4 linked regions of the Ovis aries genome follow. The protein of the gene in region 3 purifies or fractionates together with the protein of the main gene of each other region. This does not show direct contact. Links are inferred from orthologs where the notes say so. Each region holds a gene or a part of one and is shown on either strand. Other genes may lie near its edges.

What was found.
Region 1: the proteins of TRIM47 (region 3) and PPM1A purify together in Homo sapiens (affinity purification with western blotting; 3 studies listed by BioGRID, with this or other methods). This does not show direct contact. The link is inferred for Ovis aries from reciprocal best matches to the Homo sapiens genes TRIM47 and PPM1A.
Region 2: the proteins of TRIM47 (region 3) and SATB1 purify together in Homo sapiens (affinity purification with mass spectrometry; 4 studies listed by BioGRID and IntAct, with this or other methods). This does not show direct contact. The link is inferred for Ovis aries from reciprocal best matches to the Homo sapiens genes TRIM47 and SATB1.
Region 4: the proteins of TRIM47 (region 3) and FBP1 purify together in Homo sapiens (affinity purification with western blotting; 3 studies listed by BioGRID). This does not show direct contact. The link is inferred for Ovis aries from reciprocal best matches to the Homo sapiens genes TRIM47 and FBP1.

Annotation. Positions count from the first base shown.
Region 1 is NC_056060.1:70,531,511-70,539,291, reverse strand, and holds the start of PPM1A (protein phosphatase 1A), read right to left. Parts: upstream 5,176-7,781; 5' UTR 5,119-5,175; coding exon of another isoform or gene 5,112-5,118; 5' UTR 4,732-5,111; coding exon 4,632-4,731; intron 4,321-4,631; exon of another isoform or gene 3,943-4,320; intron 3,647-3,942; exon of another isoform or gene 1-3,646. UniProt on the Homo sapiens protein: Enzyme with a broad specificity. Negatively regulates TGF-beta signaling through dephosphorylating SMAD2 and SMAD3, resulting in their dissociation from SMAD4, nuclear export of the SMADs and termination of the TGF-beta-mediated signaling.
Region 2 is NC_056054.1:276,511,505-276,518,645, reverse strand, and holds part of SATB1 (DNA-binding protein SATB1), read left to right. Parts: intron 1-1,456; coding exon 1,457-1,568; intron 1,569-4,540; coding exon 4,541-4,995; intron 4,996-7,141. UniProt on the Homo sapiens protein: Crucial silencing factor contributing to the initiation of X inactivation mediated by Xist RNA that occurs during embryogenesis and in lymphoma.
Region 3 is NC_056064.1:55,081,829-55,089,532, reverse strand, and holds TRIM47 (E3 ubiquitin-protein ligase TRIM47), read right to left. Parts: upstream 4,810-7,704; 5' UTR 4,779-4,809; coding exon 4,083-4,778; intron 3,105-4,082; coding exon 3,009-3,104; intron 2,715-3,008; coding exon 2,484-2,714; intron 2,324-2,483; coding exon 2,125-2,323; intron 1,682-2,124; coding exon 1,607-1,681; intron 1,340-1,606; coding exon 699-1,339; 3' UTR 369-698; downstream 1-368. UniProt on the Homo sapiens protein: E3 ubiquitin-protein ligase that mediates the ubiquitination and proteasomal degradation of CYLD.
Region 4 is NC_056055.1:31,786,221-31,794,080, reverse strand, and holds the start of FBP1 (fructose-1,6-bisphosphatase 1), read right to left. Parts: upstream 4,021-7,860; 5' UTR 3,919-4,020; coding exon 3,749-3,918; intron 1-3,748. UniProt on the Homo sapiens protein: Catalyzes the hydrolysis of fructose 1,6-bisphosphate to fructose 6-phosphate in the presence of divalent cations, acting as a rate-limiting enzyme in gluconeogenesis. Plays a role in regulating glucose sensing and insulin secretion of pancreatic beta-cells.

The sequences.
Region 1 (7,781 bases), on a different chromosome or scaffold from region 3:
AGGCTAACCTAACTGGGAAAAGCCTGCTCAGGAGTTTTGTATTTACAGATCTGATCTGCAACACAGAGATAACATCATATGCTTTAGACGGTTGTGGTGAAAATTAAAGCCTCACACAAATAAATGGTCAATAAATTACAGATTTTATTATTCCTTTCCTATGTATCTAGAAGTAGTTTGGTTTCATAGGATTTTAATTCAAATCAGATCAGCCATGAAAAAAGTCTAGTGACTTTCAATCCATATCCTAAATATGAATACTACATAAACTAAGAAAATGGAGTCCAGATAAACATATTAAGAAATATAAAAACTGAAACTCCCTTATCACATTTACTCAACGAATGTTTAAAACATCTCTTAATTTATATTATAAACACACATATATTATAAACAATCCATGAACACACATTAACATTCATTATCTTTCCCTCAGTTTTCTACAAAAATTCTAAAAACTCTTATCACATTTTAGATAAAGGTATACAGAAGCTCACCTCTCTTAATTACTTTCTCTAGCTCCTTCTACCTACCTCAGCAAAAGAAAAGTTAGGTAAAGATACACAGATAGCTAGGACATCCAAAAGTCAAAATCAGCAAGAAATATATTCTAGAGATTCATACTAAAATATAAAATTATTGTTCTTATTGTGCATAAGAACAAATTAGGCACTGGAAAGAACAAAAGAAAGAATATAGGTAATCAAACTTTTGATTTTGATATTCAGTTCAGTTCAGCTGCTAAGTCATGTCCAACTGTTTGCAACCCCATGGACTGCAGCACACCAGGCTACCCTGTCTGTCACCAACTCCTGGAGCTTGCTCAAACTCATGTCCATTGAGTCACTGATGCCATCCAACCATCTCATCCTCTATCGTCCCCTTCTCCTTCTGATACAGTTTAACCCAAATTACTTTCATATAACACTAGTTAATAATCCCAAGTCAGAAAATTTCCTCGCTAACAATGAAATAGAAAATGAAGCAACTCAATCTTTAAAAGTTTGTCACCAACATATGAGATGGAAGACAGAACATATTCTGGAATAAAGTTACTAACCAAGGTACAGGAAGGCACAAACTTTTACCTAGTTGCTTCACAATACCTTTTCCTTACCCTAAGGTCCATTTATTTCACAGGGCCACACCTTGTTTTATCTTCTATTTGACTCTTACAGGACTTCACTTGCACAGATTTTCTTAAAGGGATGCCTCCTTCCTCTGCGTGGGTAAGGATGGAAAGTAATCAAGAGTACCACTCAGAGTCAGGTGCCCAAGTGTCATTCAGGGGATCATCAAAATATCACCTTACAATTAGTTATTTAATTGTAACTACATGATCATCAACTCACATCTTAAGAGATTAATCTAGCACTCAGGCATGAGCATTTCAGGGATAACAAGCTCCCTATGGACATATGTCAGTCTTTAGTTTTAAATTTTCAAACAAATAAGCATTTGCAGTTAAACCAGAATCAGCTACACATGCTATCAGCCATTCTAATAAAGTCTAAGTGTTATGTGAAGAAATTCAAAGACTGTAGGTTTTTTTTACTAACTGCTTAGCAATATTTACCATGTGACAATACAGTGTACTATAAATTTCTTTGAAAAAACTGCATATTAGAGAACAAATTTTCAAATGAAGGTTTATTAACGAGTCAAGATAAGCAAGACCCAGCTTGAACTGACAGGAAAACCTGCACAATGTGTTCTTAAAATGCCCTTCACATCAAATTACCAAGGGTCCTGTGCTTGTTCAAACCTGTAGGCTCAATCACCCTTTGTCTCTTGCGGAATCTCCATCTGCCTTCCTCCCAAGAGCTTTTCTAGACTTCTCACTCCCAACAGAAAAATCAGTAAAGGCTACCCATAGGAATATCTTTCCTAAATAAACCACTGACTTAAAATTCTTTCAAGAAAGACACAACCCTGAAAGAAAATCAGGGCCAGAATGCTGAAACATCTAAGTGCCTGGCACATAACAGCTATTGAGTCAAAGCCTATTAAACACACAATGTTGAGAATAAGAAACATTTGATAATCTACCCCTTTGGCTTTGCTGATGTTTGGAACACAACCACGACCAAACAATTCTTGACTCCTAGTGCAGTGTTGCTTTCAACAGTTTATACTGTACTTATAGGCATCAATTTTGTTCTTCAAACTAAAATATAAACCACCTTTATATGTTAACACACACACACATCACATAAAAAGAAATTCTGATGACTCAAGCATTCGACCATCTTATTTCTCAAATATATACTGAGGTACCTAGCCAAAGTTTACCAGTCTTAATATACCTCTTCCATAAAATAATTACTTCACTGATGTGAAAAATATCTAGTGATATCTAATCAAAAATGTCTTAACTTCTATGTGCAGTTCATTAGTTTCCAAAATGTAGTATAGCTGTACCTTGCAGGTTAAAAGTAATCACTTTATGATTGAAAGTTTAAACAGATACATGTGAGTTACACATAAGAACAGACCTAAACATCAAACAAGAAATGTTACTTTGTGCTTCAAATTGTCAAAAGAAACAAAATCAATCAAGAAAATCAAAAGAAACAAAATACACTTACAAAACAGGGAGCGGGGTGGGTCACGATTGCCCTACTCAGTTTCCTACTCTCTAAAGAGTTACAGAACCACTGACTTTGGAAAAGGCCCAATATGTAAATAGATAAAAACATTAAAGTGAAATTGTTCTTGTTAAAGAGCAGGTAGGGAGCAATCCCTGCTGAACTGAGAGTTCTGGAACTGCTAAGGCTCAGAAGAGCACTGCTAAAAATCTCTGACTCTGTTCAGAGTTCTTTGCACCTAAAAAGTGGTTGTGTTTAAAACCCCAACGTCCAAGTTTGAAAAGATTAAACCTTTTCCTAGGAACAACTTTTTAAAATTTCTAATTTCCTTTAGTAATGTCAAAATCATCTACTCCGGGAAAACAAAAACCACCTCCCATAGGTTTTTACATCTCCCATACCCTTCCAGTCACTTCTTAAGATGCATTCGGCTTATTACTCCAATCAGTAGAAAATTTAGAGTTGGGAGTTGGGGGCGGGGGGCGAATAGACTTCTTGGCTTGCACAGCTGAAGTATGACCTTTGTGGATTTTTAAGAATCGCGGTACTTGGTACTCTGGGAGGGGGCGGCGGGGAACTCAGGTGATGAGATTTTCAAAACATATCTAAAACTGCGGTTGGCAGAGGCTCTCCACAGCCAGCTGTCCTTCAAGAAAATACTTAACATGTACAAGCAAAGCAGAACCACACCTCAATAAACTCTAGCATCAGGAACTTTTATAGGTTAAAAAGAGGAATCAGTTCGATTTACTTCAATGGATTTGTTCGATGCCTAAATAATGAATGAACTGGAGGCATCACTGACTTGAGTTCTGAAGGAACCTCACTCTCAGCACGGTCTCCATAAAAACCTGAAGCAAATTCCCCCAAATTTAGTGTTTCGAGGCCAAGTCCGGTCCGAAGGAAGCCTCCCCCCGCTTCTATCTCTCGGCCTCGCTCCAAGGGTTGGAGCCCAGGAGGGTGGGGGCGCCGGACGCCCCCTCCCCGCTCGGGAAAAGTTCCGCCGGCTGCTCTCGGGACAGGCCGGGCCGCGGGCCTCGTCCGCGTCGCCCGCTACTAACATCGAGCCGGGCCTGGGCGGCCGGAGGGTCGCGACCCTCCCCCGGCAGCCGCCACCAACACCCCGCCCCCGCCTCCCCGCCGCCGCCCTCGAGGAGCGTTAACCCCTCGCCGCCCGCCGCCGGGCTCCGGGGAGGAGGCCGGGCCAGGGGGTGGAGTTGTCGCGTCTCCTCCCGGGAGCGCCCGGGCAGACGCCCGGCTTGTTTACAGGCCCCAGGCCCCAGGCCTGGCCACCGCCGCGCAGGCCCACGCCGCCCGCCCTCCCGCCCGCCGTCGGCCCGAGCGTCGCGCTTACCCGGAGCAGCCGCGGACGGGCAAGTCCCTGGTCCGCCGAGGCGGCGGCGGCGGCGGCGACGGCGGCCGGGGAGGGGGCGGGAGGGGGGTCACCGCGGCGGCGGCCGGCCAGGTCAGGCCGGGGAGGGGGCGGAGGAGGGGAGGAGCCGGGCTGCGTCCGGGCCCCCGGCTCTCGGCGCCCTCGCGGCTCAGATCATCCGGGCGTTGGAGCGGGAGGCGGAGAGCGGGTCCGGGAGGAGGAAGAGCCGAAGAGTCATAGCTTTCGCGCCCCACCTGCCTGGCGCCCCCCCCCCCCCCTCCCCAACCACCGGTTCCCGAGCTGCAGCCGCCGGAGCACCCGAAGCTGCAAGGCGGGCGGGCGCCGAGACCACAGCTCCCTCCCTCCCGCGCGCGCTCCCGCCCCTAGAGCCGCCACCACCGCCGCCGCCGCCGCCGCCTCGAGCGCGTCCCCGCGCAGGCGCGCTCTCGACGGCGCCGTGCTGCCCCTCCCCCACGCCTCCGACTGCCCCGCCCCGCCCCACCCCTCCCCGTCGGCTCAGCCCTCGCTACAGCTGCGGCGAGGTGGAGCAGCTGGAGAGACCCGGATGTCGTTGGGCAGGAACCGCAGCGCCGGCCGGCAAGCGGGGGACGGGGGGAGGGGGGAAGGGGAGAGGGGGGAGGGGGCGGGCGCAGATGACGTCACTGCCCTACCCGGTATCTTTCGCCGCAGTCGGCTTGCTACCCCGGCCTCAGACCGAGGCTTGAGGGAGCATCGCGAATCCCGGATCGGAACTGGAACCGGGGCCTTCATCTCCCGGCGTTGGGTTGGACGGAGTGTGTGATTGTTAGGAGCCCCAAGAATCGAGATGCCCTCCAAGCCTGGCAGTCTGCCGACGGGAACTCAGACGCTCCCCCGTGGCATCCCGGCCTCCCGGCGCGGCGCTGCCATCTGTCTGCAAATACACAAACCGCTCCCTGCTTAGGCGCAGTCCACAGAAGCTGAAGGACAACCCCGTGCTTTCGACTTCTCTCGGGCACGGTCGCGGCCTGGTCGAGGCCTGGCTGCTGCGGCTCAAAAGTTAACTCGGTGTCAGGCCGCCGCCAGACCCCCTCCTCCAAGGCTCCACACCTCCAGAGCCACCCTAGCCCCAGGGACCCTTGGAGACACACGCAGGTACCCCAGCTACACACCTCGCATCTCGAAGGGCAACTACCCATACACCGTACTGCCACCCACCCACATGCGAGTGCAACTGATACACACAGGAGGCACATGCTCTGAGATTCTGGCCGGTTTCCAGCCTGTAGCTCGTGAGGTTCCACATTGTGTTTATTGGCACTTGTTAGACAGTCACGTGATTCTGTCACTGAGGACTTCCAACGACCTCCAGTGAGGTTAAAGAAAAGAAAGATTTTTCAAATTCCAGAAGACAATAAAAACGTAACAGCTGCTTATATTAAGAGTTGCTGCTGCTGCTGCTTGCTAAGTCGCTTCAGTCGTGTCCGACTCTGTGCTACCCCATAGACGGCAGCCCACCAGGCTCCCCAGTCCCTGGGATTCTCTAGGCAAGAACACTGGAGTGGGTTGCCATTTCCTCCTCCAATGCATGAAAGTGAAAAGTGAAAGTGAAGTCGCTCAGTCGTGTCTGATTCTTGGCGACCCCATGGACTGCAGCCTACCAGGCTCCTCCATCCATGGGATTTTCCAGGCAAGAGTACAGGAGTGGGGTGCCATTGCCTTCTCCAATATTAAGAGTTGGAGATCTGCTAAACCTAGTTGAAACTGAGCGTTCAGGTGACCAAAATCCAGCTTAGCTAGCTAGACCTCGGAGGACCCACGCTGTTTGCAGACGCGGGGGATAGAATGACAAACCCTAGGCGGCCAATGAATCAGAACTGAGGCGCAGTACATCACCAGCAGGGTCTCCTATTGGCTGGGGCGTCCTTCCTTTCTCTCGTCAGAGACTTAACCTGTTCAGAGATTTGACCTACACCACATTTGCAGGAACAGAAGTTTAAAGATCTGAGATTTTAAAAATTTTTAAGATTTGAGATTTAAAAAAAGATAGATTTGAGATCTGAGATTTAAAAAGATGCTCTGGTAAATACAAAGAAAAACCAAACACTTCATTATTAGAGGCAGGTACTTTAAAAAGAACAACTGAAAATATTATCCAAATAGTGTTCTGGCGGATAAGAAGGTAAATTTGTGATGGGGCCTCTCTATTTTATCCCAGGAGCTTGTATCCTACTTTGTATCTCTTAAAATACAAGTGCTTAGTTTGTATCCCCTAAAACCGCTTTGTTGCTCCAACTCTTAGATCAAAAGCAACCCATTTATTCTGTCCCTGCCATTTAGCTTGGGCTTCCCTGGTGGCTCAGCTTGGTTCGATCCCTGAGTTGGGAAGATCCCCTGGAGAAAGGAATGGATACCCACTCCAGTATTCTGGCCTGAAGAATTCCATGGACTTAACAGTCGCAAAGACTCAGACACGACTGAGCGACTTTCACATAAAGTGAAGTGAAATCGCTCAGTCGTGCCCAACTCTTTGCGACCCCATGGACAGTAGCCTGCACCAATCTCCTCCGTCCATGGGATCTTCTAGGCAAGAGTACTGGAGTGGGTTGCTGTTGTGGCTCAGCTGGTAAAGAATCCGCCTGCAATATGGGAGACCTGGGTTCCATCACTGGGTTGGGAAGGTCCCCTGGAGAAGGGAAAGGCTACCCACTCCAGTATCCTGCCCTGGAGAATTCCATGGGCTGTATAAGTCCATGGGGTTGCAGAGAGTCAGACATGACTGAGTGACTTTCACATAGCTGCTTTTAAAGCTGTAAAAGCCATCTGGAGTTTTCCCAACATTTTTGGGAAGATTCTGTTCCTTTCACTTTCAGGTCTGGGACCTAATAACAGTATCAAACAATATCACCTAATGATCACTGGCAGGCCACTTCTTCAAGGAACTTCAGTGTTATTCTACCCAGTATCTTTGTGGTTAGGATTTCTTAGAGTAAGATGAAGATAGGATCCTTTCCAGGTATACAAAGTAAAAATAAAGTTCACTTATATATTTGGTCCCAGTATTATCTGAGGACATATTTCCTAATTAATTCTCCCCACATTTACTAAAAGAAAAAAGAAGGAAATTAGATCAAATATCTTTGAAATTCTACCTAATTGGAATCCATAATGCTTCAGACGTGGATTGCTAACATCCATGCTAACATCTACAGGCTAGCAGCATGATTAGCATGCTAGTGGACTCATTACCATTCTAAAATGGAAAAGCCCATGTGACTGCCCGTATTTGGAGCACCCTTAGAAAACAAATTTTCTTATTCATAAGACAGAACCTGGGTCACCAGTGGACTATAAAGAGCTTGAAGGTCTTGCCTGTCATTCTGCTTCCTTCCTTTAGGCTACCACATCTTTCTTCTCTCTGTTCTACACTTATAGAAGAATCTGAGTCAATTATAATGGAAGAGGTAGAAAAATAGGAAGTATGAGCATAAAGAAATTTTTAAGGTGTCTGTAGTGTACCATAGACTGCCAATTAAGCTGTACCTTCCCACTATTTATTTCTGAATACAGTTTGCAGGAACATTCAGGTATTGCAGGTATTCATGAGGAAACTCATAGGTTGTAAGATGAACAGTTTAAGATTTGGAAGAAAGATATCTTAATATTATCCAAATAAATGTTTAGATGTGCTTGATGTTAAATGTGCTTGATATAATAGCCTCTTCCTTATCATTAACATTATACTACATTTTATATTCCCTAAATATTGTACTAAATAGTCCCTAAATATTATGCTAAGGGCAAACAATTAAACTACTAGAAGAGGGGAAAGTGACATTGAA
Region 2 (7,141 bases), on a different chromosome or scaffold from region 3:
AGAAAGTGTCAAAAAAAATGTCATTGTGGCTCTTAGAATAGCCGTGTTTTACATCGATAATGTAACTCCAGCTTATCCTTCACTGGAAGTGCTTCAAAGATCCCCGAGATTTACGTGCTACGAGAATGGGTGCATGTTAGGAAATTAGCGCTGATGAGAGGTGTCAGGAGAATCGGTGATAACCAAAAGGGCTCTACATTAGAAGTAGCTGAAAGAAGCTAATGGTGTGAAAGATACTTTTGTTCCCAAACTGGCTTTTCTGGTTGTGTCTCACCTCCCAAACAGTTGCCTTCTGTAAATTGTTTGTCATGGACCAGCTGAAGCCTGAAAGGTAAGTTTTCATGTTTCTTCACATAGAAGAACAGATTGGTGCTGCAGAGTCGAATTATTCCTGCAGCTCAATGGAGAAATTGGCTTAGCCACTACTAGAGAATATGAGTGTTGCAGACCAAGTCCCTGAAATGACCAGGACCAAGACTGGCAGGGAAGAAAGTACTTTTCCATATTGAAAATGAGTTAAAAAAGAAAAAAGAAAAAAACATAACCCAGGCATACGTCAAAATCATCGTCTTTCTTCATTTTTCTGTGTTAAACTGGTGTGATTCTGTTTTCCAAGCTTTTCGTTAGATGCAGGATGAAGAGAAGTGACGGAATAGGCTGTTTTCTTTGTTTGTGGTGTCCTCAAGAAACAATCCACCGTGAAATGCATAGATTTAAAACTGTTACACTTAGTTTGAAATTCAAAACCCAAACTTTATATGAAGCTAGCAATAAGATGGCAGCATGCTTTTTTTTCTTCTGATAGAAGATCTTTGTGAATAGTTGGTTTCTTCTTAAATGTGGTCAGTCAGCCGTGGAACAGTGTTAATTTACCTGCGATTGAAACCCAAATACTGAGTAAACAGTGTAAGGGGCGTTTCCCAAACTTTAATGTGCCTGCAACCCTCCTGGGGATCTGATTAAGCTGTAGATGCTGATTGCCCTGGCCTAGCTTAGGGCCCAACCTTCCGCACTGCTAGTAAGTTTCCAGATGATGCTGGTCCCTGGGCCATCCTGGGACTTGCAAGGATGGAGATTTAGGCACCAGACCACAAAGTGGCATTTATTTATGAACTGCGATCAGAAAGTCATCTCAAAGTGTTTGGATTTATTGGGACGGGTGGACAGTTGTCAGCCCAGGAATAGATGGCGTTTCCCATACATGCTGGAGCCAAGTCTGTGGGTGTGATCGCTTTATAGCAGTCTCAGTGGGCTGCAGCTTTCTACTGAAATAAGCGTTTGATGATCTGCTTAACGACTTTGAGGAAGTCGCAGCTTTAGGCTAAAGTGTGAAGCAAAAACGTGTCGGTCCTCCGTGGATTAAAAACAACAGGAACGCGTTTGCGCAATTGAAATCGCGACCGTGTTCTGCCTCGTGCCGCTGTGTGTTACAACTGCTCTCCCCCTCTCCGTGCAGAGCATGATCTCCTCCATCGTGAACAGCACTTACTATGCAAACGTCTCAGCAGCGAAATGTCAAGAATTTGGAAGGTGGTACAAACATTTCAAGAAGACAAAAGATATGATGGGTAAGCAGAGCGCCGCCGCCGCTGCGGTCCCGCGCCGCCGCGTGTCGTGCGGGGGTTTCTCCCAGTCACGTGTGCAGCCAGGCCTTGTGATTGCCCAATTAGAGGGCGATTTAGACTGTTTCTTGGAGGGTGGGAGTGGGTCTGAGTATAATGAGATAATTAAATTCAATAAATGTTTGTGTTTAAATCAGCCCAACCGACTTGGTTGTCAGACACGCAGGAGATGGAGGCGAGGGGGGGTGAGCTGTCATTTTTTTTAACGTCTCAGTGAAGGCCTAACCAGGCCTGGAGTAGTGAGCAGTGGCTGTGGGTTCCCAGAGATAAGTCATGCTTTTATGGGGTTTTTTGTTTGTTTGTTTGTTTTTCTTGGTTTTGTTGGAGAAGAAGGGAAAGTGCCTGATTTTACACCCAACGTTTAAAGACGTCAAACTGTATCTAGAGTCTCCGCAGCGGAGATCGGGCAGTGACTGGAGCGGTTGTCTCCAGCCCCCGGGGTGGGGGCTTGGGTGGGTCTGCTGCCTTCTGGACCGCCCATCACCCAAGGACCGTTGCATCGTTCCTCCACGCTGCACGCCGGGCCTCCTATCGTAACGTGTAACTTTAGGTCAATATTTGTTACTCAGGGAACACATTACAATCATCTGCAGTGTGAAGCGACAGATAAGAGTTGTGTGTTGTACCTGAGGGTTCAGATTGTGACGTTTTTTCCCCCTGTTGAGTCTGCTAGTGTTTGTAGAAGCAAACCCTGTGATTAAGGTTAATGCTTTAATTTCTATTAACGTTTTCTTTCACATACTTGTCCCCTCCAAATAAATGTTTTAAAATAATGGAGGAATGGGATGTTTAATATGCATAGCGTTACGTCATGTTTTCAGTCTATCTCTGTTTACTTCCATTGCATTGATTTAATAAAACAGCAATAATAACGTCTCCTTAAGATTTTAAGAGGCAGGAGAACCTGAATTTTGAGCCTGTTTTAGCTTTTAATATTTGAAGCAAAATCATCCATCTACCAAAACAGATTCTTTGCCTTTTATAGCTTAGAGCTGTAATGAAGACAATACATCATTTTTGGGAATAATTGCTTGAATTACTGTTCCCTATGAATGGCCCACTTGGGCTGATAGCAGAGATGGAAGTTTCTTTCCCCGTTCTTAGTTATATTTTGCATACATCAGTGATTATAGCAATATGATAAGTTCCTCTAAATATAAAGCCAGAATATTTAGTAAAAAGAGAAATGATGATGAAAATCAACCCAGAGTCCACACATGGGAGGCATGGTATACTATTTATTTATTGGCTGCACCGCATGGCTTGGGGATCGAACCTTGACCCGCAGCTGAGAAAGTATGGAGTCTTAGCCACTGGGCCCCAGGGGATCCCCATGGTGTGCTATTTAGGACTCGCTTACCTACCATCGTCAGCTCCCAGTTCGAGAGCATCAAAGCTGTCTCTTCCTTGTAGCCACAAAGCGTTTGACTCGCTTGCTGCTCACGCTCAGCCAGCCCACATGAGGTGTCTAGCTAGGGGAGAAACATTCATCCCGGGCGGGTGGTAATAAATTGCAAAAGGGTGACATCACCTTGTACCGGGATGACTCCCCGCCTCTCCCTTGAAAGATTGTCATTAGCATCTGGTGATGGCCATAGCTTCTTCAGGAAGCATTTGGATTTTAGCAACTCTGGGTGTACTGGCTTGCAGTATGATAAATCGGTTGCTTCATTCTAAGTAGTGGTTGCGGCTCTCCGTGCCACCTAACTTGAGAGCTATAGCTCAGTGAAACAGGACGTGTAAAATAGTCAGCCCAGGGGTCAGTCTGAACTCAGTTATCATTACTTATCATTATGACCTTTTATTGATTATATCAATTACCTTTTTAAACTCACAACTGGTTTAAAATGGAACATAAGCTAATATTTAGACCATTTTTCTTGCAAACCTTTTTCTTGGAGTGGTAACAGGTTTTGTATGTGTGAAGTGAAGTGAAAGTCAGTCAGTCGTGTCTGATTCTTTGCAACCCCATGGACTGTACAGTCCATGGGATTCTCCAGGCCAGGATACTGGGGTGGGTAACCTTTCCCTCCTCCAAGGCATTTTCCCAGCCCTGGGGTAGAACCCAGGGGTAGAATCCACATTGCAGGTGGATTCTTTACCAGCTGAGCCACCAGGGAGTCTAATCTATGTATCTCCAAGTATTTTTTCATTGTAAATACACATATGTATAGGGCTTCCCAGGTAGTGGTGAAGAATCCACCTGCCATGCAGGAGACACAAGAGGCTGAGGCTTGATCCCTGGGTCAGAAAGGTCCCCTGGGGGAGGAAATGGCAAATCACTCCAGTATTCTTGCTTGGAAAATGCCATAGGCAGAGGAGCCAGGCGGGCTACAGTCCATGGGGTCGCTCTGTGGATATTTCTTTTTTTCTACAACTGCATATGTTTTCGTAGCTTCACTCTTTCCAGTCACCACTAAGCAACTAGGGTTTTTCTAGAATTTTTTTTTGGTGGGCATCTGTACCACCTGGCTTGTGGGATCTTAGTTCCCCGACCAGGGATTGAACCCAGGCTCTCGGCAGTGACAGGACCAATTCCTAACTACTAGATTCGCAGGAATTTCCCTAGAAGCTGTTTTCAAAATAAATGTTAGTTTTATAAGCCTTCGTGGGATCAGAAGTAATAGTGAATAATAATTTGACCCCAAAACTAGTCACATAGAATGTGAAAATAACTGATTTGGGGCCTTAAATCTAAACCACATCACAGCATTAGAAAGTGTTTTCCCCCTTTCAGAGTCGGTGGCCGGGTGCAGAACAGAAAGGTAGCCTCACAGCCGGCTGGGTTCTGTCCTGAGATGTCCTGGTTTCCTGGACCCTCAGTGCCCCGTGCCTCTCCGTCCTTAGGGAAAGCTCGGAGCTCCTCAGCGGTGCGGAGCATCGTTGGCTAACGTGGTTTTCCCTCTCGCCCGCTGCAGTGGAAATGGACAGTCTGTCGGAGCTGTCCCAGCAGGGTGCCAACCACGTCAGCTTCGGCCAGCAGCCCGCCCCGGGGAGCACGGCGGAGCAGCCCCCCTCGCCGGCCCAGCTGTCCCACGGCAGCCAGCCCTCTGTGCGGACGCCGCTGCCCAACCTGCACCCTGGGCTGGTGTCGACGCCCATCAGCCCTCAGCTGGTCAACCAGCAGCTGGTGATGGCCCAGCTGCTGAACCAGCAGTACGCCGTGAACAGACTTCTAGCCCAGCAGTCCTTAAACCAACAGTACTTGAACCACCCTCCCCCCGTCAGCAGGTCTATGAACAAACCTTTGGAGCAGCAGGTTTCCACCAACACAGAGGTGTCTTCCGAAATCTACCAGTGGGTACGTGATGAACTGAAACGGGCAGGAATCTCCCAGGCAGTATTTGCACGTGTGGCTTTTAACAGAACTCAGGTCAGTCCTGTTCATTTGAACATGGTTCTTCTCTGTCTCGCTCTTCCCCTTCCACCCTGGCTGTGCTAACCTTTATTCTTGTGCTGTGTACAGTGTTAACATCGTCTCCTGCTCTCCATATGATCTGTTCCTGGGGGTGCCTACGTTTAAGCGCTTCTCTCCTCCGCAGAAACCTCTGCTACCAAGAGAAGGCTGTGTACAGATGGATCCTGAATCAGGGGCCTTGAAAGAGCAAATGTCAAAAATATTTCAAGCTGCCGTTACCTATGCTTTTACCTAACGGAAACAGAGAGTGTTCGTAGCCGAGGGGGAGAGGTTTCAGGACGTGGCCAAGGCCACTGGTAGGACTCCAGGCCTCTAGCCGACTAGCTTCCTTTCCTAGACCAGGGATCAGCCAGACCTTGTCTGTAACGTGACACACAGTACACATTTTAGGTTTTGAGGGCACAGTACCCATAGAAGTAAGTGCATGGATGTGGGTGTGGTGTTTCAGTAAAACTGTTTATAAAACAGGCGCTGGAGTGGGTAGGCTTGCCCTAGGAAGCCTTGTTTGAGGCTTCTCACTGAGTTTTGCGTGCACCCCTAGAGTTCACGCCTTTGTCCTCCTGGGCAAATTCCTGTGAAGATCCTATCGGCAGGGAGGACACTTAGGACCTGGAGAAGGGTGATCCAGGGGAAGGCCTAAGATAAACGCTGTTGAAAAGCCCTAAACAAAGAGTGCTTGACAGGATTTTTTTTTCCTTTTTTTTTTTTTTGTCACTTAGTACAATATATATGGTGTTTATTTCTGGCCCAGGCACCCACAGACAGCCCCACCCCACCCCCCAAAAAAATAACCCAGAAGAGCATGTAACTGATTATCGGTGAGGACATGATGTCTTTTAACTTTCCTGTTTTGCCACTGTTAACTTCTCTTGTCAGTTTTTTCTTTTTAAGCCTGACTCATACTTTCCTTTCATATTTAGGTTATTTTATTACATGATTATAAGAATAAAATCCTGGTACAAAAATATCTAGTATTAATTCCTTGCTGGCAGAGTTTCCATACCTAGGAGAATCCCAGCTGTGACTTATTTTTGGCTTGCCTTCGCTGGATTGAAAGTTAGGAGGCCTTACAGAACCTTTAACTGAGTGTTTGTTTTGGGGTTCTTTAACTTTTTTTTGTACATCACTTGTCTGTGTTTAAGGGGATGGTTCAAAAGTTTTTTCTCAGGTGGCAAAATTGTACGCGCTTGCCTAGTTTTATATCTTTAACTTAAAAGTATATTCATTATTAGCTGGTACATTTAATCTGACACCCTTATTCAGTTGCAGGGTCGTTATTTTAGAGAAATAAAGTGAACAGACGAAAGAATCAAGTCAGCCTTCTCGATGCTCCTGTTTCTGGCAGCTGATATCAGTACTTTTGTAAACAGCAGCTGACTACCCACAGTTCTCAGTCCTGGGCAAAAAGGCAGGCAGGTCTCTGCATAAAAGTTCAATAAGATGCTTGTTGAACTGAATTGAATGCCCACAAAGATAGCATTGACATGGACACAGACGACTCGCAGATTTACTGTGAGTGAATTTTGGAAGTTGAGCACATTGTTATTTCTTAAAGGACTGAGGAAAGTATGTTTTATATGGTAAAGAGTGTCCAGCTAAAGGAGAGAAGGGTTAGGTCACTCCCATCGGGGCATTTCTTCATCTTTGGGGCTCTCATGTCCCAGGCAGGCATCACCCTGGAGAGTGACCATTTGTTCTTCTTGGGTTTTCACGTGGACAGATTCCATAGATACCAGTAGGGTTTGATGCTGGGAAAAAGGCAGAGTTCTCCCTTTTTCATGCCCTGTCAGTCTCTCCAAAAAGGTAGTTATTTCTGTGGTTAGCATCGAAAACAGTGACTTAATGTTTTTGAGGGAGAGAGGGGAGTGACGTCTGGGTGCAGCTTGATATCCATCTCTTTATTAATAATAGCCAGTTGAGAAACAGTCATTACTGAAAAATTGTCTGGAGCCCCCAGTGACAGAGGAGTTTGGTTTTAAACCTTTATATTGCTAATTGGGACTCCTTTTTCGAAATGGAGGTTGGCCGTGTTTGTAGCTGTCTGATTTCAATGAGAGTAATTTTTTAATGCGTATTTAAGGATCCACTTTTGGGGAATTCG
Region 3 (7,704 bases):
CCTTTTCCTGGGTCAGGGCTCTCCCGCCCAGTAGGAATCCTGGGACAAGGGCCTTGCTCCCTTCTCCTGTCTTTCAAGACCAGCTCAGGAAAGATGGGAAGTACAGGGAATTCTTGGTGGATGCAGAGAAGTGTGCTTCCCAGGTGGCTCAGTGGTAAAGAATCCACCTGCCAATACAGGAGACGTGAGTTTGATCCCTGGGTCAGGAATATTCCCTGGAGGAGGAAACGGTAACCTGCTCCAGTATTCTTGCCTGGAAAATCCCAAGGACAGAGGAGCCTGGAGAGCTACAGTCCATGAGGTCACAAAGAGTTGGGACACAACTGAGCAAGCACACACGCAGGAGAGAAGGGTAGAAAAGGGAGTCATTCAGAGACCAAACGTTTATTGAGCACTTACTATGTGCCAGGCACTGTCCCAGGAACCCGGGAGAGGAGGGGTCAGGGTAGCTTGGAACTGTCCAAGCTGCGGTTCCCTCTCCCAGAAACAAGGCCTGCAGGGGGACAGGGTCTGGGGGGGCCTCCTCCCTGAGAGGTGGAAGGCCTTGGGTACAGAAGGTGGAGGCCTCTAGGAATGAGAAGGCTGGGGAATGTGTGGGGGTCCGAGGCTGTTGCCTTCTCTGGTTCAAACCAGGGGTGCAGAGAAGCAAGTTTCCCAGGAGCTGGGTCAGCAGCGGGAGGCGGCCCCGGGCCCCTGCATCACCTCCTCTTGAGCGCGGATATGCAGGACTTCTTGAGGGGCCCGATCTGCAGATGGGCGTCTACACTCTCCAGGAAGAAGGCAGGCTTGAGTCTGCGTGTGAAGAGCCCCGCAAAGTGGCTGTCCAGGCGGCTCTGGAAGGGGTCAACCGGGGAGGCCGGCGTGCCACTCCGGCGCGCCCGGGAGGCCCTCAGCCTCCGTAGGAGGCTCATCTTGCCGTCCCGCACGGTGTAGAAGGCCAGGGCTCGGTCAGCATATTCCAGGCAGATCCCCACGGTGGGTGAAAAGGGGTGCGGCAGGGGTGCCTCCTGCCCGTGGAACCAGACGGAGAAACTGCGTCCGTTCCACTGCAGGCAGCACGAATAGGCGTTGCGGCCCAGCCGGCCCCGGTCGTAGGGCTCTTGTGGGGAGAAGTCTTCGGCCATGACCCCCACACTGACCCAGCCTTCAATGATCTCCACCTCCCAGTAATAGGTGCCCCGGTCCAGGGCGCCCTCGCCCAGCACCTGCTCGCAGTGGGTGAAGCGGGTGGGCGACTCGGGATAGTTAATAGGACACAGCACCCTCTTCACGCCCTTGGTTCCAAACAGCTGCAGGAACTTGTCGGCCGTGTCACTGTCCAAGTCCACTATGTAGGCAACTGCCCCCACACACCGGAGAGAAATGCAGGACTCAGGTCCAAGGTCAGGCAGGGCAGCCTTTCCCCGAGGGGCCCACCTCCCCCAAACACCTCTCCCGTCCTTTGTAATGAGCATGATTCAGCCATCACGGGGAGCCCCCCGTGAGCTGACCTAGTTCACCCTCTGAACCGGGGACAGGAATCCCAGCCCATGGGCACTTAGGGCCCAGCCCAGCAGCCTTGGGAGAGCCCAGGTAAGCATCCTGGCAAGCCCAGGTGTCAACTTACACTTGAGGAAGTAATCCCTAGGAGCCTCACTCTCCAGGTTGTTGGTGCTGTCGGGGTCCTGGGACTCAGCGTCTGCTGCCGAAGAGGAGACAGTCGGTGAGGGCCTCCTTAGCTGCCTGTGGCTGGGCTGTGCAAGGCAACCCATCTCTGAACCTGTGATTGAAATCCTCCTCCTCCATCCTCTCAGCACCCCAGGCCACCTGGGGACAGGCACATGCCCAAATACGGTACCCTGTGTTCATATGCATGCTGGTCCTTGTTCTACATCCCATGTCCTCCCTGGGCTTCATCCTCTCTGAAGCCAGAGGGTGTGCCAGGACAGGCCCTCTCTGCCCCCCGGGCTGCGGCCAAAGGGGCTGACTCGTGATTACAGGGTGGTGGCTTGAGTCCCTGGCAGGATTTGGGGTCCCACCCTGTTCTAGGCACAGTTTCCATCCTCCACTCCTGAGCGGGCCCCGGGCCTGGGGCCCTGTGCGGGGAGCCTGGGGAAGGGTGAGTCACTTGCAGGGGGCGCCCACCTTCCGTGCCTGGCTTCTGCAGCCCGTCTTCGTCACCGCCCAGCCCCCGCAGCTGCTCCCACTGGCTGGAACAGGCCGAGGCCAGGACGACCTGCACCGCGCGCACAGCCTGGGAGGACTTGGTGAAGCTGAGCTCCCTCGGGGGTCCGGGCCCGGGGCCGCACCCCTCCTCCAGGGCCAGCCTGAGTGCCAGGAGTTCCTGTGCCAGACAGATGCCCATTAAGGCTGAGCTGGCCGCCGCAGCTCCTCCGGGCATGAGACAGACAGCCTGCCAGGAGGCCAGCACAGCCACGAAGGCAGCCCCCCGCGGCCTCCTCCTGCGGCTTCGGTGCCCGCTGCACCCGCAGAGCCGCCCTCACCTGCAGGAAGCTGACCGAGTCGGCTTCGGGGACCTGACTGAGGTTGTGGCGGGCCCTGCTGAGTCGGCTCCGCTGCTCCTCCTGCCGCCGCAGGTCGCCTTGGGAGCGGCCCAGCATGGTGGCCTCCCCCTCATCGATGAAGCCCAGCACGTCCGTCTGAAACCCCTGCAGGACGGCTGCAGCCTCGGCAAACAGCCGGCTCACCCTCTCCCGCTCTGCCACGGCTGCACTCTGCATAGGACAGTGGGGGGCGGGCAGTGAGGACAAAGAACGCCCCGAAGACGTTTTGGCCACCTTCTCAGACCCCCGTCTTCCCACCATGTCTTGTTGAGGGCGGGGGGTGGACAGAGGCACCAGCCGAAACTGCCCTGGGTCTGTGCCAGGTCAGGGGGGAGACAGGCTCAGTGGAGCTGGGCCACGCCCTGGGCACGGGCTTCTCTGGAGTGGACGGTGCCATGCTGAAAGCTCACAGCGCCAGGAGCCTGGGGCAGGGGTGGACGGGGGCTGAGTTGCACGGGATCTGACCTTGATGAGGGCCACCGTGCGCCGGGACTGAGCGATGCCCGCACCCAGCTCGTCCATGCGGTCCTCCACAGCGCTCAGGACTTTGGGCTGCTCGGCCTGTGGATGACACCCTCAAGGTGAAAGGGGTCTAGAAGTAGGGTCCTGGGCCTTACCGAGGGGGAGGTGGGGGTGACCAGGAGTGGTATCTGGGTCCAGGTGTACTGGGAGTGGTGATGATATACCAGAGGGGCCTCAAGCCCAGGCTGGTTCCCTTTCGGAATGTCTAGGAGAGGGCAGGCTGGTGGGCCGTGGGCTGCCTGCCTCCCCCTCTTTGACTGGTGAGCAAGTCCAGGGCCCTCGGGTCCACCATGTTGCTCATTGTGATTTGAGAACTTCCCTCCGCGGGAAAGAAGCAGAAAGTGAGGAGGGGCCCTGCGCAAGGTCTGGGAATCATTGTCCCCCAAGAGTCTGTGTCCCCAGTCCAAGCCTGAAAAATGGGGATTCCGGGCAAATCCCCTGGGTCTTATGAGTCACCACTTCAGGCAGGAGAGACGGAAAATCCCAAGGCCAGAGGCGCCAAGACCAGGCCTGGGGCCAAAGGAAACGGGGCGGAGGTAACGGCCGGACAGCCAGTACACGCGCCCACCACCAGCCCCCGGACAGCCAGACAGGGCGCTCTGTGTGCTCAGCCCACCCTCCGCCGCACTCCTGTCGTCTGCCACACCCATCCAGTCCCTCAGCCCAGGCAGATCTGAGCGGGACCGGCAGGAGCCCGGCCAAGGCACCGGCCGCCCCCCGGGGACCCTGCGGACCCCACCAGGCTCCTTTAACCACCCCCCACCCCATGGGCTCCGCCCCAGCCTCAGTCTTCCAGCCCGATTTTTGCATCCTTTTCGAGTTCTCACTGGGTCTCTCCAACCCCCATTCTCATCCCGAGAGGAATGTCCCACAGCGAGCGGATGACGGTCAGGGCTGGAAGGCACCGCAGAGATCCTCAGGTTAGAGAGGGGAATTAAGGATGGCAAAGCAATGAGGGGTCCTCGGCCGGCGCGCGAGGCGCATCACCCGCCCCCACCCGCCGCGCCCGCGCCCTACCTCCTGGAGCGCGCGCTCCTGCTCCAGTGGCACGAGCTCGTGGCCCCGGTGCTCCTGGGCGGCGCAGGCCTCGCACAGGCACACGCGCTCGGCCCGGCAGTAGCGCTCGAGCGGCCGCAGGTGGCGCGGGCACAGGCTCTCCTCCAGCCGGCGCAGCGGCGGCACCAGGCGGTGTCCGCGCAGCGCGGGGCTGCGCTCGTGCGGGCCCAGGTGCGCGGGGCAGAAGGACGCGAGGCAGGAGAGGCAGGAGAGCGCGGCGGGCAGGGCGGCGCCTTCAGGGCACGCATCGCAGCGCACCGGCTCCTCACCGGGCGGCCATGACTCGGGCGCGCTGGGAGCCGACGGCTCCGGGGCGCTGGGCGGCGCACTGGGTGTTGCCGGCTCGGGGGCCGGGGCCGGGGCCGGGGCCGGCGGGGTAGGGGCCGGGCCGGGGCCGGGCCCCGGGCCCGAGCCCTGGCGGAGCTGCAGCAGCTCGGACAGCGTGTGGTTCTTGCGGAGCTGGAGGCCGTCGGGGAAGGGTTCCTGGCACAGCGGGCAGCGCTCCGTGCCTCCGGGGCCGCCGGCGCCGCCCGCTCCGCGGTGCGGCCAGAGCGCGCCCAGGCAGAAGAGGCAGAAGTTGTGGCCGCAGGGCAGTGTCACCGGCTCCCGGAGCAGCTCCAGGCAGATGGGGCAGCTGAAGGGCCCACTCCCGTCCATGACTCCGCGGCCACGGCGCACCGCCTGCGCCGCTCGCGCCTGGGAGGGACCCGGACCATTCGCGACGCGGCGCCGCCCCCTGGGACAGAGGCCAAGGGTCCGGTCCCCGCCCGCCCCCGGCTCGGACCGCCCCCGAGCGCAAAAGGCCGGCCAGTACTCGGCCCCGTCCCGGACAGCGTGGGGGTGGCCTCTGGGCCCCAGTCTGACCCCCTAGGGGCTCCTGGAGGAAAGGGCAGTGAGAGAGAGGGCAGAGGGCATGTTTTTGCCTCTTAGTGACTCTACCTTCGGTGGGGAACTTGGGCTTCTCTAAACTTAAAATGGGAAGTTGATGTCCTCCAAGTCTACTGTCCCACGAATTCAGTTCCAGCCCATGGACACTCACGTGATGTGCCAGGGGCTCGGGCTGTGGGTTCCCCAAATGGAGGTGTTCGCTGAGACTAGTGTAATTAACACTTGAAATGGTGCATTTTAGTATATGTAAACTATACCTCCATAATGTTAAAAAAGAACAGGATGGCAACAGAATAACTAAAGGAGCACTGGGTTTTAACCCTAAGTATAAAACAAACTTCCATGAGTTCATGCTGTTATAAATAAATCTCTGGATAAATAAATAAATGGAGAATAGACAAATTTCCCACTCAGAGGAATTCTAAGCAGCTTTGGCACATTCTCCAAGATGGAGAGTGGCTTCCCACTCTGCACGTGTGGAGGGTGCCAAGTGACTTCCTTCCAAAGGGAGCAGAAGAGTAACTTGACAGGGTACAGTGATGAAAACCAGCCCAGCCAGGTGATCAAGGTCAACAACAACAGTGATGTCATGTTCGGCAGTAAATACCATTGATATGATGTGGTCTTCCTTCCCACAGTCCCACTCTAATTATTATTAAAACTTTAGACAAATCCCAATGGAGACGCAGTCTACATAGCGCCTTAAGAGAAACCCCTGAAACTCTCAAGGTTGTCAAGCAGTTTCCCTGAAAGTTTACTTTCCGTCTGAAAAATTGTCACAGCCGAGAGAAGTCCATGGAGACATGATAACTAAATGTCCTGTGTATTCTGGACGTGTTCCTGAGAGAAAAAGGATGTTAGGGGGAAACAGGAAATTCAAATAAGTTATGGAATATAGTTCATAAAAATGTATCAATATTGGCTCTTTCATTGTGACAAATGTACCATAGTCATGATATGAGCAAAAGGACAAATTGGGAGGGAAGTATAGGGGGATTCTGAGTGATCTTTGCAATTTTTCTGTAAACTTGTAACTATTTTAAAAGTTCAGAAAACAGGTTCCCCTTGTGGCTCAGTGGTAAAGAATCCGCTGCCAGTATAGGAGACACGGTTCGATCCCTGATCCTGGAAGATCCCACACACCACGGAGCAACTAAGCTCCTGTGCCACAACTATGGAGCCTGTGCTCCAGAGCCCAGGAGCCGCGATGACCGAGCCACAGCTCCTGAAGCCTGAGCCCCCTGGAGCCTGTGCACCGCAACTAGGGAGTGGTCCCCGCTCACTGCAACTAGGAAGAAGCCCGAGCAGCAATGAAGACTCAGCACAGCCAAAAATACATTAATAGGATTAAATTTTTAAAATTCATTAAAAAAAATAAAATAGTTGAGGCAATGCTTCCTACACTCAGGCCTGCAGACCTCCTGCTGATGAGAGGCCAAAGTGGAAGGAATACACAGATGGAGAGGGTTGATCCACATAGAGGTGGGGAATAGCCTTTCTTATTCCTCCAGGGCCCGGTCTTTCCAGAGTAATTTTTTTATTTTTATATATTTATTTTTCTATGTGTTGGCCACACCATGCTGCCTGTGGGATTGTAGTTCCTGACCAGGGATCGAACCCGTGCCCCCTGCAGAGAAAGTATGGAGTCTTAACCACTGGACCACTAGGGAAGTCCCCAGAGTAATGCTTTTAAATGCACAAAATAAAATGCACAGGGTTCCATGGCAATCAATTACATTGAAATACAGGTACAAAATATAAAGAAAACAAATTTGTGATAAAGTTATATCTGTGTTTCTTTAACACAAGAACAAATAACAAGATCTGATGGAGGCCTAAGAATTACTGCGTTTTTGAGACAGTGATGGATGTAAGCATATTTCAAGTTCTCTGTCATTTCTGTAATATGCTATGAAAAATCTGTCATTTTTATTGGTGACAAGTCACAGCTATGGCTAATATCACTGTGGTGTGTTTTTTCTCCATTTGTAATGGAAAGTAATGCTAGATTACTGTTAGAGGACATTGAAAATAAAGAGAATTCCCACCTCTCAAAAACCTGGATTAAACATGGCTAATTTAGGGGGAATTCCCTGGTAGTCCAGGGGTTAAGACTTGGTGTTTTCACTGCTGTAGCTCCGATTCAATCCCTGATTGGCAAGCTAAGGCCCCACAAGCCATGCTGCTGCTGCTGCTAAGTCACTTCAGTCGTGTCCGACTCTGTGCGACCCCATAGACGGCAGCCCACCAGGCTCCGCTGTCCCTGGGATTCTCCAGGCAAGAACACTGGAGTGGGTTGCCATTTCCTTCTCCAATGCATGAAAGTGAAAAGTGAAAGTGAAGTCGCTCAGTCGTGCCCGACTCTTAGCGACCCCATGGACTGCAGCCTACCAGGCTCCTCCATCCATGGGATTTTCCAGGCAAGAGTACTGGAGTGGGTTGCCATTGCCTTCTCCGGGAAAACAGCTATACTCCAATAAAAATAGAAAATCTGATTTAAAAATATGCTGTGCAGAGCCTCTTGAAAGGAGAGACGAAAACTAAGATCTATTAAATATTAAAAGAGGGGTGGGATCCACTCCTGAGGAATTTGTGGGATGTGGGTGGAGGGGAAGTCATGGTGGCCTTCGTGGAGGAAGTGTCATTTGAGTTGGGCTTTCACAGACTGCTAGGGCTTGGAGACGTGCAGAAACTA
Region 4 (7,860 bases), on a different chromosome or scaffold from region 3:
ATGACCAGCTTTGCCTGCCCACTACAAATGCCCATCATGCTGGGCCACCATCTCTCACATCCACATATTTTTGCCAACTGTACAAAAGTATCTTTCAGAATCTCTATTGCTGGGACTTTCCTGGTGGTTCAGGGGTTAAGACTCCATGCTCCCAATGCAAAGGGCCCAGGTTTGATCCTAGTCAGGGACCTAGATCCCTCATTCTGAAAGGAAGACCCCCTGCAGGTAGGAACCAAGATCTCGAGTACTGCAGCTAAGCCTGGAATCATCTTCCTACCTTTCTCCAGCCTCAAAAACTCAGCTTATGTGGCCAAATTTCTTTAGAAAAAATTCTCTATTGTATTCTAACTTTATACATGTAATATTTTCCCTAAAGCATAAGCTCTATATCTTTCTTATCTCTCAGTAACTTCTAAAATTTAAGAGAGAGAGCTCCAGGCTGTGTTTAAACTCCTGATCTGCCTGATGAGGAGTCAGGGCTGACATCCATAAACTGGTCCCACAAGGTTCTTGAAAGTCTGCAATCATCTTGTCCCTCTGGCTAGATGCCCTACTAGGGCAAGTCGGCAGCACTAACAAGTTATTTGCAGGTACGCTAGCCTTTTCATCCAGAATATCAAAGCCGATAATAAGCATAATTTGGAGCCCAAGTTAAGATCTTGTCTTATGGCCCCCTCCCCAACTACATATGATACAGAGACAGTCAAACTTACTTTCCCACAGGAGTACTGAATGTTCAGGTTCTACCCTTTCTCCGTCAGCCATCCACAGGACCATGTGAAATGCCCATTTCATGGGTACAATGCTCTTTGAAATAGTGAAAGACCAGTGACACGCCCAAATATACGGGAAATGTCAAATAGCTCATGTACAGTGGAACACTGTGTGTGCTAAGTCACTTCAGTTGTGTCCAACTCTTTTCAGACTTATGAGCTACAGTCTGCAGGGCTCCTCTGTCCATGGGATCCTTCAGGCAAAAATACTGAAGTGAGTTGCCATGCCCTCCTCCAGGGGATCTTCCTGACCCAGGGATAGAACCTGGTTCTCCAATGTCTCCTGCACTGACAGGTAAGTTCTTTACCACTAGTGCCACCTGGGAAACCCTAGTGAACAGTATGCAGCAGTTAAAAAGGAGGAGGTGAGTTTACATGCCCTGACACTGGAGGATGCTCATCATATAGAGTTGAATAGTGAAAGCAAACTGCAGAAAGGATGTCAAGTGTGATCCCATTTTGTTTGCTGTTTACAAACAGTCACATGGAAGTGCTTATCCATGTATAAATTTATATGAATATAGAGAAGTATCTAGTAAAAAAAAGAAACCCAGTAAATTATGAATAGTGGATACCCCAGGAAATGGGTAATGGTGGGTCTCACTTTTCCCCTTGTGTTCTTCTGAGTGGTTTGAATTTTTGTTGAGTAACATATAAAGGGTTTCCCTGGTGACTCAGATGGAAAGGATCTGCCTGCAATGCAAGAGACCCAAGTTCAATAACTGGGTCAGGAAGATCCCCTGGAGGAAGGCACAGCAACCCACTCCAGTATTCTTGCCTCGAGAATTCCACGGACAGTAGAGTCCATGGAGTTGCAAAGAGTTGGACACAACTGAATGACTCACACACACACACACACACGCACAACATATAAAGGAATTTATAATTATAGCAAAAACTATTTTTTAACCTAGTGCTTACAGGTGTCTAGTTTTAAAAATATACACAATTCATACAGCCAAAATTGGCACCCTTTGTCCAGGTTCAACTAATATCCCACTACCTATGGTCCCACTATCTGAGGTTACTTATAAGGTGGGAAAAAAAGAAATGAAGTCATTTAGTCATGTACGACTCTTTGCAACCCCATGGACTGTAGCCTGCCAGGCTCCTCCATCCATGGGATTTTTCAGGCAGGAGTACTGGAGTGGGCTGCCATTTCCTTCTCCAGAGGATCTTCCTGACCCAGGGATCAAACCTGGGTCTCCCTCATTGCAAGCGAACGCTATATCAGCTGAGCCACCGGGGAAGCCCTAAGGTGGGAAAGATGCACCTCAAAGCAGATCTTGCGTTTCTGAGTCTCTTTGGGGTTGTGAAAGGTGCTGACACATTTTTAAACAATACAAAAATGACAAGCACTCTTTTTTAAAACAGTAGGAAATCCTATTGATAGAGGAGCCTGGTGGGCTACAGTGCATGGGGTCGCAAAGGATCGGACATGACTGAGTTACTTTCACTTCCCTTCACTTTTTAAATAAGCCCCCTGGTTTTCAAAGTCAAGTAAAGCTGAGAGGACACTTTTACTTATTGTATGTTACATTTAAAGTAAGAATTTAATTGAATGTTTCCTAAAGTAAAGTCTCCTTAGACATGTATTGAGAAGGTCCATAGGTGAAATAGTAATGGAGTCACCACCTTCCTAACATACTTCCCAATCCCTCTCCCATCAGGGCCCAACTTTGCTTGACATCTGCAAATAAATGATGATAAACTCTTGCCTTAAGAGTCAGCTTGGATAGATTGGGAGTTTGGGATTGACATGTACACACTGTTGTATTTAAAATAGATAACCAATAAGGACCTACTGTATAGGACAGGGGACTCTGCCAATACTCTGTAATAACCGAAATGGGAAAAAATTTTTTAAAAAGATACATATATATGTATAACCGAATCACCTTATTGTACAACTGAAACTAGCAGAACATTGTTAATAAACTATACTCCAATATAAGATAAAAAAATTTTTTTTAAGTTAGCTCTACCAAGCCATACCGTAAAACCAAAGGTGAAGAACTGACGAGATAAGGAATCCAGGTTTCGGGGCTGGGCTTTTTCAGCAGCTATGAGCACTGTGTACAATGCTTATGAAGTGCTCCTAAGTATGAGAAATACTAGGAAGGAGTATGAGCAATCTGAAAACCTAAGTATCCTTCAGCTAAAGTGAGGACCAGTCTAAACATAAAATACTTGTGCACACCAGAATAAACCAAAGGGTATTTGTCTTAGTAACGTAAAAGCCTCACTAGAAGGTACCTGTTGAATCTCTGTGTCCTGTCATTCTTTTTCTATGCACAATGTGATCTGCAGACCAGCAGCCCTACTACCACAGAACTTAGAAATCCAGCATCTCAAGCCCCACCCCAGACTTTCTGCAGCCCCGTGCACACCAGCACTGAAGCCCTGAAGGCGCTAAATACTGCAGGCTTCCTCTCAGCCTCCTCCCAGCCTGGCTTACCCATTGCTTCTTAACAAGACTTGTTCAGGGTCAAGGAGATACTCAATTAGAAACCTGACTTGGGACCCCAATTTCTAAGGGAATGAAAGCAAAAGGATAGAAAACCGGAAAGGGAGGCACGGGGACCAGCACTTTCCCATTCGAGGCTAGGGTGGGTGTGGTGGGCAGGCCAGGTGCCCATGGGGCTAGTCAGTTTCACCAGGAGGAGGCCGAGAGAGGTGCCAAGGCTGCTCAGCCCAGGGGCGCCGGTTGCAGGGTGGAGGCAGGTATGGACTGTGAGACAGTCCCCCGAGGTGGGCACCCACAAGCTTGAGGGAGGGGGGAACTAGAGCTTGAGTGTGGTTTGAGCTTCTGCAGAGGAGCTACCAGAGACAGTGTGTGGGGATCTCAGCTATCAGAGAGACAGACAGACAGCAGGGGCAGAAGACCAGACATCGTACTGCCTGGTAGATCCCCAGCCAGAGAGAAAGAGGACTCTGCCAGGGTGGGGGCTGGGGGGTACAGAAGCCTGACTCACAGGTGCGCGATGCCCGCCTTGCGCACGGCAGTGGAGATGGCTTTGACCGCGGTGCAAAGCGAGTTGAGCAGCTGGGTCATCTCGCCCGTGCCACGGGCCTTCCTGCCCTCTTCCATGACGAAGCGGGTCACGGTGACGATATTGGTGTCGAAGGGTGCCTGGTCCGTCATGCTGGGGCCCGGTTGCGGCTCGCTGGGCGACAGGTGCGGGCGGTGGAAAGCGGTGGGACGCGGCCGCAGCACAGAGTCAGCGCAGCGGCTCCGGAGCGGGCCAGGTTCCAGTCCGGGGGCCGGTAGCCTATAGGCGCGGGTCACCGGCCTCCGCCCCCTGGAACACCTCCGCGCCCCGGACCCCGCCCCTCCGACTGCGGCCCCGCCCTCTCCGGCCCTGTATGACGTCCGGGATCCTCGTCCAGTCTCAGTTCCCCCAGCCGCAGGGGGTACCCCCGCCTCGTGCCCCGCCCCCACCCCCACCTCCGCTTCCTCACTGTCGCCGCGCCACGCCTCTGCCCAGCTGCCTCCAGCGTGGTAGAGCGCTACTCTGGGCCGTGGTCCTTTTCAGTCCGCACGACGACCTGGCCACGGAGGTGCAATCCTGATTCCCGCCCTACCACGCTAAGATAGAAAACGGAAGCTGGGAAGGTTAAGCGCGGTGCTCAGTGCAGCGAGGCTAGTGAGTGAGAAGCCCGCGCTGCAGCCCAGCTGCTCCGGGTTCAGGCTCTAACCGCTGTGCTTCCCACCGCCACAGTCTTCTGCTCCCTGCCCTCTATCCACCCCTGCTTGTCCTGTCGTCTGATTCTTCTGACCACCTTCAAGAGACTGGATTCCTCTGTTCCTTACTGTCCGATGGCTTGGTTTTGGATCCTTAATTCAGATCTGTTCTCAAGATTCCTGTAGTCTGAGAGCTATTAAAGGGACCTGTTAATGCGAGCTCCTGTGCCAAACCCACAGTAAGGCCAAACAAAGTGAAACAGTCTGAGTTTGGAGCAGAGAAAGGTTTATTGCAAGGCCATGCAAGGAAACAAGGTGGCTCGTACCCTGAAAAGCTTCCAGCTCCTCAAAGCATTTTGGCAAAGCATTTTTAAGGGCAGATTTGAGGGGGGCGGGGAGCCGCAGGGGGCAGTGGCAGGGGCTATGCGCTCATCGTCATCAAGCAGTTTCTTCATTTGGTGGAGGGGTGGAGGGAGGCGGATTCATGTCTACAAAATAACTCAGGAAACTTGTATCAAATACTGTTATCTATATTATCTAGGTACTTCAAAGAGGAGCTCATATGGGGGAAGGCCTCAGAAAGTCCTGCTGGTCCTGGGTAGAGACCTTCCTTTCCAGTAACTGCACTTGGCAGAGAAAATGTTCACAGACCCAGGAAAGGGTGTCCTGGATACCATACTGAGATCAGAGGCTCCGAGGCCACATCTGGAGGGTTTTGTAGGCGCATTGCTTCTGTCCTAAGGCAGTTCATGCACTTATTCATGGAACATTTACTGAGCATGTGCTATTAGTGAGATCTTGCTTTGAGAGCTAGCCCTTGTCTCCTTACAAGCACCCCAAAAGATGGGCCCTCTGAGTTCTGTACAATTTCTGGCAATTCTGGTAGGACATGTGCCCTGGTCAGGGACAAGGGGAGCTGGCCACACTGGAGTGAAGTGAACTAATTTGCTTCTGATTTTGGTCAGATTGTCCAGGTCCTCTTGGGCAGACATCATTCTCTTGGGTGTCTACTGGTTCAGACTGTTCGCTGGCTCAGTCTCTGTGAGCCAAGTGGCCACCTGCACAACTCTGTTCAATGCCAGTAGACTTCAGAGGGTGAGTAGAATTCAGAACTGGTGCTACAATGGCTGGGGTTGTCAGGATAGCCTCACCTTTTAGACCAGAATTTGAGAAGCACTCAGTTGGGCTTGGGTTTCTGATTTCACCCTGGGTTCCAGACCAGGTCCTGATTTCTATCACTGGGAGGTTGCATTCCTGCCACTAAGGAACCAGAGGTCTCTGTGAATGAGAACTCCCTTCCTACTACTGTGAGAGGTTGCATTCCTTCCGGTGGGAGACTGCAGACCTCTGGTTTAGAAGCCACCTTTTTCTGTGATGGGGGTGGGGGGCAATTTGAGTCCCTTTTCAATAAGAAACAAGAGACTTTTGCATGCAGGGAACACATGGGTGGATAAGGTTCTTGAACTCACCCTTTCAGGTGGCAGAAGCTGACTACTAAACTGGGGTTCGAGTTCTGAGGCTTTGGCTGCAGGTCTGGGTTCACTCTGGTTTAGAGTCATAGGGTTCTAGTTTATGTTTTGCCTTGTTTGTCTCGTCTTCAATGTCTGATTGTCTTATCTGTTAATAAATTAATTTAAATTGAGTTCCTTAGCAACCATAGGAAAATCTACTTTCAGGCTCAGGACAAGCAAACTCTGGTATCTATAACTCACATTAGTCAGCCCTTGAGAATGGCTGCCTTTGAGAGTGGCTGACTGTGGTACATCAGAATGGAAAACAACTTTTCTGTTCCCAATTGTTGTTCATCGGAATGTATTGTAAATTGGAAATCTTTTGGGTATAAACCCATGCAAAATACCAGATGGCGTTTCTCAGGAATGTTGCCTGGCCCCAGTCCTCAATAGAAAATCAAGAAAAGTGGCCAGAAGATAGGTCTCTAAATTGCAACACCGTCCTGCAGTTGGATCTTTATTGCAAAAGATTAGAAAAGTGGAACAAGATCCCATTAGTACAGTGCCTTATGGGGCTGCAGCAACACCAAACTCAGCCCAGTCACCAGATCTGGAGACCAGCTACAGGAGTGGTGCCCACCACTGACCTACATGGGATTCCATAGAGACTGGGCAGGGCCCGACTTGAGCATCATCAAAGTCTCCTACTTAAAGGGACGAAGGCTGCTCCCTGGAGACCTATAAATGGGAAAAGTCAGAAACACTCAACAGGAGGCAATGAAAACCCATCAACATTCTTAGAGAAGGTAGAGAATGCCTCTGACAGTATACAGCTGTTAGAGATGCCCCTGAGAGCGACCCAGTGGTTATACTTTACACCTCAGAGTGGCCCCCAACATCTAAGGGAAGTTGCAGAAAGTAGCAGTGGGTCCAAATGCCCCCAGACTGTCACGTGGTGGGTATTTCTGTTGGGAGTGTTCAATAACCCAGATATTGGCTGAGGAACAAAAGGAGGACAAGCAGCTAAAGAGACAAACCACTCTCCTGGCTGTTGCCCCCTAGGGCACACTGAGTAACCCATGGCACTGACGGATGAATGCAGGTGAATACGCTGAGGGACCAAGGTGCAGGCCCAATCAATGTGCTTCCAGCAAGAAGGAAGACAGTAGGTAAAAGGGAATGCCCCGATCAGCCTCTGTGAAGCAGAGGAGCACTGACAGGGACTAGGGGCTCCCGAGTTGGCTCCTCGGGGTATAATCCCGGTCTCCCCAGAGCAGCCCTGGGTTGTCTAAGAAGTGGAAGAAGAAAAAGTAGAATTTTTAATAGTTCTTGAAGCCATTTCTGCTCAGTCTTGACCACCTTGAAGGGAAGAATGTTCCAACAGGAGTGTGCTGTTAAAGGGGCATTGGGCAGACCTAACAGGAGGTTCTTTTTTAGAACCATTGGCATGTGAAATGAGACCCTTCAAGTAAAAGTCTCTGTAAGTTTTGACCTAATTGAAACCATGCAACATTGATTGGGACTTGAACCCATGTGCCAGGACTCAAACCCAGGTGGAAGCCAGATTGGGACTTCAACCTACAGGCTGAGACTTGAACCTGGCTTCTTTTAAATTGAGATCACACATTTGATGTCTATTGCAGAAAGAATTCAGTAAGAGACAAAGTGAGAGGTAAGAAGTGGATTTATTTAGTGAAAAAGACACTCCACAGGCAGAGTGTGCCATCTCAGAAGGCAAAACATGCCAGAATATGGCATGGTTAATTTTTATGGACTGGGTAATTTCAAAGGCTAGAGTGGGAGAATTATTCTAACTAATCCTGGGGAAGGAGTTGGGGATTTCCAGGAACTGGGCCACTGTACACTTTTTGGTCTTCTGTGGTTAGCCTCTGAACAATCATGGCACTGGTTAGTATGTTATTTAGCATGCTAATGTATTACAATAAACATA